2 linked regions of the Cricetulus griseus genome follow. Each later gene encodes a partner of the first gene's protein in a complex. Links are inferred from orthologs where the notes say so. Each region holds a gene or a part of one and is shown in the gene's direction. Other genes may lie near its edges.

Region 1 (4,413 bases):
CAACTCTCTTCTTCCACCCTTCTGTAGGGTCTTAGACCCAAACTCAGACACTTACACAGCAAGTGCCTCTAGCCATTAAGCCATCTTGCTAGGCCAATCTGAACACACAAATCTAATTGATTAAACGTAAAGCCCTGTTTGTATCACCACCTTCTATTGCTAATTGCTATGAGAAAAGCCTTCCCCACAAATCTTAGAAGCACAAATCAAAGCTGGGCCGTGGTGGTGGTGCCTTTAGTCCTAGCACTTGAGAGGCAGAGGCAGAGGCAGGCAGATCTCTGAGTTCAAGGCCAGACTGGTCTACAAAAGCCAGTTCTTCGACAGCTAGGACTACACAGAGAAACCCTGTCTCAACACACACACACACACACACACACACATACACACACACACACACACACAATCACAAGTCATCCATCATGGACATAAAATACATCTCTTTTACCCTCTGTTTCAGTTCCATAAGTCTTGACAACTGTGGGATGTTTTCACCAAATACTCTGTTGACAGGATGGAGCATGTTTTTCTGGGCCAACAAGTTATTTAGAGCTTGGACTTTAGAAGCTGTCTGTCATTTCTTAGCTCTTCCTTTCCTCCTCCCCATCTTTGTACTTAACTTTCTTACACCTGAAATTTGTTAAATGTGTCAGTATTTGTGAAGTCTTTAGAACAAGTGGCCTGAACACAACAGGGCACTTTGTTTGCTAAGAATACTTCAGTTTATCAGATTTCCTGTTTGCTTTCTTTTGGTGCTGGGGATTACCCACTGGGCCTCAAGCTAGTATTCTATGCCTAAGCAAGGTCACCTGCAGCTGTTGAACTCACCACTAAGCATCTAATTCGTACTGCTTGGTGTTAAAATAACCTAGCTGTAGATGTGTCTTGGTTTCTGAAAAGGTGTTGACTTTTTTATTAGCAGTGGTCATTGTACTAATAATGTGTGGATAAGGGTTTATGAGGAAGCTTGAGTCTTGCGCCAAAATGACTTAAAGCAAAAGAAAATGCCCATCATTTGGGCACTAACCAGTAATTAGTAAAACTCCTGTCTATTTGGAAATAAATCTGGCATCTTAGGGTGGTCCACTGTCAGCCAACTGTGAATTTGTGAAATGCAAAAGGACAGAGCTGGCAATCATTGCAGGATCTTCCAGTTAGGCCAGTCCTTTGTCCCTTGTTTTCTGCACTGCAATGGTACTGGCCGCTTCGTTGCCTTTTAGGTACTTTTTACAAGCTTACAGCTTGGAGTGTTTGAAACCCAGCAAAAAGTACCTGTTTAGAGGAAGGTACCTGCAGTCCACCAGAAGACCCTTTAATCTGGAGTGTGGTGGAAGCTTCATTAGCCCCAGGTGCCCTCTTAGCCTGGCCTGGACTACATACAGCCTTCACTCCTGCTTAACCACAGCTCTGAGTTTTGCTTCTCTAATAACTCCGCCCTTTCGGAGAAACACTGGGGCGGGTTGAGGGCGAACGCACATATCATTGCGCTTGCGCAATGGGCCGGGCGCTAGTGCCCCAGGGAGGCCAAACTCCGGGGGCCGATGGCCAGCGCGCCTGCGCAGTAGGCCCGCATGGCGCTGCTGAATGGACTTGCCTCCGGGGCTGTGCCGTCAGTGCGGCTGCGCGCGAGCCGGGTGCCGCGGTACTTAAGTTGGCTGCACACACTGTCAGAGGTAGCCATGAGGAGAGCAGATCCCGAGCAGCCCGCTAAGCGGCCTCGCTGCGACAGCAGCCCAAGAACGCCACAGAGAACCCCTCCTGCAGCGGCCAGCGCGTCTCCCGGCTCCGAGCTCCACATCGACCTCCAGACCTGGGAAGTGGAGGACGTGTGCTCCTACCTAAAGGGATGCGGCTTCCAAGACAAGAAAGTGCTGGACAGCTTCAAAGGTAACGGGGCTGAGGGGAGCACCCACGCGAGAGGCATCCGCAGGGGGAGGCTCACGGATCGGAGGCCCCGGGGGGCGGCTCGCGGCGGGAACCGGACCTGAGGCGGGAGGCGCCCCGACGCCAGCCGTCCAGGCGGGCTGCCCGAGGTGGGCGCAGGCCAAGTGTGAGCCCATAGGAAGGTGCTGGCTCTGGGAGCTTTGAGGGGCCCTGGGAGGTTTGCGTCTTCTTCTGGTGGATGGGTGCCTTCGGGAACTTGTCACTTCTGACAGGAGAGATCCCCGCCCTTCTTAGATTTGCCCCCCAGACCTCCGGCAGCCGCTTGCGGTCTTTCAGGCTTGCCAGGCTGGGGACAACCTCCTGTGCTAACCGCAGCTCCCAAAACACTTGACCCCAAGAGAGGTTTTGGCGCTTTTAAGTTTCGCTTCTTAAGCCGTTCCCGGATTTTGGGGTTTTGCTTAAAGGGGAGGGAAGTTGGTTAATCTCCAGATTCTCACTGACTGCCATAGCATCCCAGTAGGGCTCAGTTTGTGCTGACTGCATTTGCCGAGTGCCACTGATCAATTTCTCTTCCAAAATAAGAACAACTTACTCAGTTGGCCACTGAAACCCCAGCATTCCACAACTTGGCCACGCAAAGGGGAGGGTACAGGCTGAGAATTTTAAGTGACTCTTCTGACATTTGCTCATGCTCCAGTCAAACACTTGTAATCTACTCAACTTGTTTGTGGTAGATGTGAAGCCTAACCCCTTGCATGATCCCATGAGGTGTTCGCTGGGAACGTGGCTCTTCGGTGGTTATGATTTGCAAATTCAGTAAACTTTACTTCTTGTGGGGCGGAGCCCCGTATGCCTAATTGAAGGACAGAGTGAGAAGTTTAAAGTTCAGGACATAAAGATAGTTTAAATGCAGAAACTCGGGTTTCTCTTTTTCCCTTCCCCACTTCACCCTCTACAGGAAGGTAACTTGCGGGGGCGGAGTACTAAGACAGTGTCTCTATGTAGCTCTGGCTGTCCCGGTACTCTCTATGTACAGACCATGATGGCCTCGAACTCAGAGAGCCACCTGTCTCTGCCTCCTGAGTACTGGGATTAAAGGCGTGCGCCACCACACCTGGCAATATTTTATTTTAATCTTATAGGTGTGAGTGGTTTGCCTGCATATGTGTATATGCACCGTGTGTGTGCCTGGTGTCCTTGAGGCCAGAAGAGGGTAAAGCTCCCTCTAGAACTGATGTTACAGGTGGTTGTGAGCTTCCATGGGGGTGCTGAGAACTGAGTCTGAGCCCTCTGCAAGAGCAGTGAGTGCTCTTAACCTCTGACTCATCTCTTCTGGCTTTATTTTTGATTGTCTTTTCAATGGGGTGAAGATGGAGAATGTATCACATGAGTGTAGTGCCTACAGAAGCCAGAAGACACCATCCAACCCTCTGGAGCTGGTGTGTTAAAGGCTGTTGTGAGTGGCCTAAAGTTAGTTCTAGGTACACAAAAGAAGTGTGTGCTCTTAACTGCTAAGCCATCATCTCTCCAGCCCTAGATGATGTTTTTATATCCAAAAATGTTAAGTAGCTTTCCAAAGTCACACCACTAGACAAAAGATGCAGAGTTGGAATTTTTAGAGGTTAGGTCTTTAGATTCCAGAATTCATTCCGGTTATTTCTTAACTAGTGTTCCCAATAAAAGTGACAGGAGAACATATCCCTGTAATCCTACTCTTTGGGAGGCTGAGGCAAAATAATCAAGACTTCCGGTCCCAGCCTTAGGTCTTTAGCCCATCCTGGGCTACATATGGAGAACATAACCAAAATTAGAAAATCAACTAAAAGCCATGGCGGGAAAATCTATCCTGTAGAATAATGAGTAAAATATCAAGAGACCATTAACAACCTACCAATAAACTTAAGTAAAGCAGTTCCAAACCTAATAGTAATTTTTAAAATATACTGGGTTTTAATTTAATAATTAGAAAAGATTATTAGTAGATGAAATATGTATTTCAATAAAGTTGATAGACATGTCCATTATCTCAACCATGGACTGTTTGGCAATGCCTTTTGACTTATAGCAAATAGTGATGACTAACATTTATTAAGTATATTCTTTGTATGAAGTTTTGCTATATTCATTTTACAAGATTTTGGGGGAAGGGGAATTTTTGTGTGTAAGTATATAATATGGAGGATGAGATCTAGGGCTTTGTTCGTGCTATGTGTAGACTCTATCACTGAGTCACACATACCCCCATGCCGGATATATTTTATTTTATAAAATGTTACAACAGGGGCCAGGGAGATGGCTCTGTCAGTAGCCATGCAGACATGAAGACATGAGCTCTGAATTCCAGCACCCACACGTAAAGTTGGGTTTAATGGTGCATACTTATAACCCCAGAGGTGAGGAAGCAGAGATAAGTAGCTCCCTGAGCACTCTATCTGAATTGTACACATAAACTGATACAAGCACGAATAAACATAAATAAAAAATGAATAAATCCTAGAAAAATACCAGGCAGAGGAGTAATTAAGGAAAATA
Region 2 (4,341 bases), on another chromosome or scaffold:
ACCTCATGAGTACTGGGATTAAAGGCATGTGACATCATGTCCAACAAAACTCAGTATCTTGATTCAACCTTACTCCTTCAGATTTCTCCTCCATAAAGTTGGCTGGCATTACCTGCCCTGGTCTTGATGCAAGCCAGGCCTGCTGTAAAGACAAATTGAATGATAATGGTCATCACAGCAAGAGACCAGAGATTTCAGAAGCACAGGGGAAAGCTGTTCTGTGGCAAGAGGAGTGACTGAAGACATGCTACATGCCTGTGGCACTGCCATCACCCTCTAGAATTTTTACTTTTAGCTGCTTGTTACTCTAAGCTACACAAGTAAGGGGGAGAACTCAGGTGGGTGGGATAGGGTGGTGGTGGACTTGAGTTTGAAATCTGGGATACTGGCTTCTTCTCTTTCCTCCCTCCCTCCCTCCCTCCCCCCAAGACAGGGTTTCTCTGTGTAGCCCTGGCTCTGGCTGTCCTGGAACTTGCTCTGTAGCCCAGGCTGGCCCTGAACTCACAAATGCCACTACTGCCTGGCTGATACTGGCTTAACAGCCATAGAATCTGTTCACAACAATAGGTCCACAGTGTCTTACAATCTCCATGTGAAAGTATTGACTGCGAGAACTCTATGGAAACGCACAGAACACACTCAGAATTCCAAGAGCAATAATGAGTTGCATCAGGCCTGACGTCTGGGTAGGTCTTGTCAAGATTCTGCTCAATTGTGGAGTTTATCTTTCATGCCCTCACATAGGATCTGTGGGTCAAAGTCAGATCCCCTGATGCTTCTTCACTTTGGTTGGTGATATTAGGCGAGTCATTTACTCTGGGTTTCACTTTCCTCAACTTTAAAATTAAGAAATTGAATTAGATGACCTCTGTGGTTAGTCAAGTCTTGGCTGAAGACTTTTTTTTTTTTTTAATTTTTCTTCCTCACATAAAATACGTAGCAACGAATGCTGTTTTGATTCTTGCCGAGTATGTTTTGAACAGAAAGACAAAGGAAAACCAGTGAGTTTCTTATTAATGAGTACTGCAACTTTTGATACATTTGTGCGAGATTCATTTTTGGCATATTATAAGGCTTATGTGTCAATACCAGTACTACTGAGCCTTACCGATTACACAGGGTAGAATTACGTATTGGCAAAGTTATCAGGCAGCGGTAGTCTGCCGGGCTTTAGAAAGATCGATTCCTTCCTTCACTTTTCGCTTCCGCTTTTGGAAACAGCCAATAAATACACAGCAATTTACGTATAATACAGAAAACTACGGATCCCAGAAGCCAATGCGCTGGGGAGGTGCTTTCTGGTCTTTCTATCCCCCCGCCCTTCCCGCCCTTAAAAGCGGAACTTCATTTCCCAGGAGCCCTATGATGTTCCTCCGCTCGCGCCGACGTTCTCCCCCCGCCTCCCAGCTCGCGAGCCTCGCGCCAAGCGCGCGCGCGCGCGCACTGCACGTAACATGCGAGTGACGCATAATATGTGGGCCGCTCAGGAGCCGTGGTCGCGCTGTGTGTGTGAGTGAGGGAGAGTGAGTGCGGGACCAGAGGCGGTGTGTGTGAACTGTGGCCGCTGGAGGGGTGCGGGGAGAAGCGGCGGAGCCGCCCGCGAAGGTAAGCGGGGACAGGAAGGAGCCGACTCTCTGTGGGGAGCGCGAGGAGAGCGAGCGCGCGGCCGGCTGGGCGGGAGAGTGGGCGCCTCGCTGGGGGAGGGGCGGCACCTGCTTCGGCTGCCGGCGGCGGCGAGGGGGCGGGCGGGACCACCCGGGAGGCTGGGCCTGGGGCCTGACAGGACTTTCCTCCTCCTGATCCCTGGCCCGGGGGCGGGGCCTCAGGCTCTTCCTCCAGTCTTCCAAAGAAGCTTCCTTAGAGTAACTCTTCCGCCCGGAGTGGGGGGCAGGGATGTGCCCGCCTCTACCTGAAGGAGGTGCTCTTTCATTTTCTCTGGTCCGCTCCGAGTCTCTGACGAGCCGAGGGGCTCCCTCTCCCCTGCCGCACGGTGGACCCCTTCCCGGACTGTGTCCCCGCCTCCGGCTTCAGTCACCTGGGCGGGCTTTCCCCTCCTCCGGCTTCGTGCCACCTCCCACTTGCACCCGCCCTGCTCTTGGACAGGGCTAGGGGGAGGAGCTTTCCGGGAGCCCCTCCTACTCCTACCATGCAGTGGTGAGCCGAGGGGCAGAGAGGTGTGTGGGTGCCGACCTAAGGTTGCCTGCCAGGCTTCTTGGGAGCTCGTACCCAGGGCTCTTAGTTGTTTTCTGGTGGGCGGGCCGTTTGCCATGCTCTGTCCTGTTTCTAGAAGGTGTCGGTCTGTTTGCTCTTACTGCAGTGATAGCTCTTTGTTTTTTCCATTTGTTGAGGAATTAACTCTTAGAGTTTTGAATAAATGACTACCACTCGTTTTTGTCTGCCTCCTGTTGCCCCCCTCTGTCTGTCTCCCCCACTCCTGGCTCTCTTTCTCTTCTTCCTGGAACTGGCTCTGTAGACCAGGGTGGCCTCAAACTCGGAGATTTGCCTGCCTCTGCCTCCCCCCCCCAGTGCACTATTAACGCCCCCGTCTGCCAGTTTCTTGTATCTCTTTCCTGTGAAGCCTTTTAACTATTCTGCGTGTTTTAATTATTAATTTATTGTAGCACTATCATCCTGTTGCAAGCCCTTTGTTAATGCTGTAGTTGGAGAGGTTCATTGGTAGCATCACTTGAAGGCTTCCCCCCACCCCCTCCGCCCGTGTTTCCTGGCATTTACCTTTAAGGCTTTTATAAACCTGTTTTGACTTTAGGAGTTGATACAGTATATTTCTTCCAGATGTCAAGATTTGTGTTTGTATATAGCAGTTTTTCATTAACAGTTTTCGAGTAGGGGTATATTTTTGGGTGTTAAGGTAATATGAGGAAATTTTACACATTTCTTGAGCATAACATTTTATTTACATTGTCTTGTTCAGTTATTAAATTTAATAAAATGTAATAAAACGAGCTCCATGTTAAATTGAAGTGATTGGAGTTGGTTTATAACTACTGTTGTTTTCATAAAGTACACAGGACAGTAATAGTTATGTGATTATGTGTCATAGTGTTAAGGTTTTGCTTGAAGCTGTAAATTCGGAATTTCTCCCCTTTCTCCTGTGGTGTTGGGGATTGACCCAGGGCTCTCTTCCTCCCTTATGGCTTTTGAAATAGAGTCTCTGTAACCCAGGCTGGTCTCAGACTTGTGAATGTGCCTCATTCAGCTTTATAAGTTCTGTGATACACGTGTGCACCACAAGCTCAAGTTGACCTGCCTGTCTCCCTCCCTCCCTCCCTCCCTTCCTTCTTTCTTTGTGCTAGGAATTGAATTTAGAGTCTCAGGGACAGGCCTTATCATTTACCTACACCTTTTACTTCTTTTAAGTAAGGGTTGCAACTTTCCTGAAGGAGTGCTGTCTTCCCTCTTTTTCTTCGTGGCACAGGATCTATTTTAACAGACTTTATCTTATATTTGGGGACAGTTTTGCTGAATCTTCTATTAAGTATAGTGTAGAATAGAACCTATTTTTCTTTTTGGGGGGGATTTCAAGGCAGGGTTTCTCTGTGACTTTGGAGGCTGTCCTGGAACTAGCTCTTGTAGACCAGGCTGGACTCAAACTCACAGAGATCCGCCTGCCTCTGCCTCTGCCTCTGCCTCCCAAGTACTGGGATTAAAGGCATGCGCCACCACCACCCGGCCCAGCTTGATTTTTGAGTCAGGATCTTACCAAAAATCCCTTTCGGTAGAAAAGCTAAATGAAGTGATTATCTTTAGTTTCACCAGTTAACCGCTTTGTTGTATATTCTGTCTCTGTGTTTATTTTGTGGAATTACTTCAGGTTGTAGGCACATCACTTCTAAATTCTTTGGCACATTATCTTTTTGTTTGTTTTTCAAGACAGGGTTTTGGGGCTGGAGAGATGGCTCAGTGGTTCAGAGCATTGGCTTTTCTTCCAGAGGACCTGGGTTCTTTCTTAACAACCACATGGCAGCGCACAACTGTCTGTAACTCCGGTTCCAGGGTACCCGATACCCTTACGCAGACAAGAACACCAATGCACATTAAAAAAAAAGTTGATCAGGACAGGGTTTCTCTGTATAGCCCTGGTTGTCTTGGAAGTGCTCTATGGACCAGGCTGGCCTCGAAATCAGAGATCAAACTTGATCTGCCTATGGAGTGCTGGGATTAAAGGCATGCACCACCACCTCCTGGCTGTTTTTTCAAGACATTGTTTCTCTCTGTGTAGTCCTGGCTGTCCTGTAACTCACTCTATACCAGACTGGCCTCAAACTCAGATTTGCCTGCCTATGCTGGTATTAAAGACATGCACTATCACCAGACTGGCTT

Evidence for each region.
Region 2: the proteins of Samhd1 (region 1) and Dcaf1 are in contact, whole or in part, in a crystal structure (PDB 4CC9), measured with the Homo sapiens proteins. The link is inferred for Cricetulus griseus from reciprocal best matches to the Homo sapiens genes SAMHD1 and DCAF1. Residues at the interface, in NP_056289.2 of Homo sapiens: Ser616, Arg617, Val618, Gln619, Lys622; in NP_001336097.1 of Homo sapiens: Asn1090, Glu1091, Asp1092, Thr1114, Gln1116, Asn1132.

What each region holds. Positions count from the first base shown.
Region 1 is NC_048599.1:22,436,006-22,440,418, forward strand, and holds the start of Samhd1 (deoxynucleoside triphosphate triphosphohydrolase SAMHD1), read left to right. Parts: upstream 1-1,576; 5' UTR 1,577-1,676; coding exon 1,677-1,884; intron 1,885-4,413.
Region 2 is NC_048597.1:215,038,416-215,042,756, forward strand, and holds the start of Dcaf1 (DDB1- and CUL4-associated factor 1), read left to right. Parts: upstream 1-1,466; 5' UTR 1,467-1,605; intron 1,606-4,341. UniProt on the Homo sapiens protein: Acts both as a substrate recognition component of E3 ubiquitin-protein ligase complexes and as an atypical serine/threonine-protein kinase, playing key roles in various processes such as cell cycle, telomerase regulation and histone modification.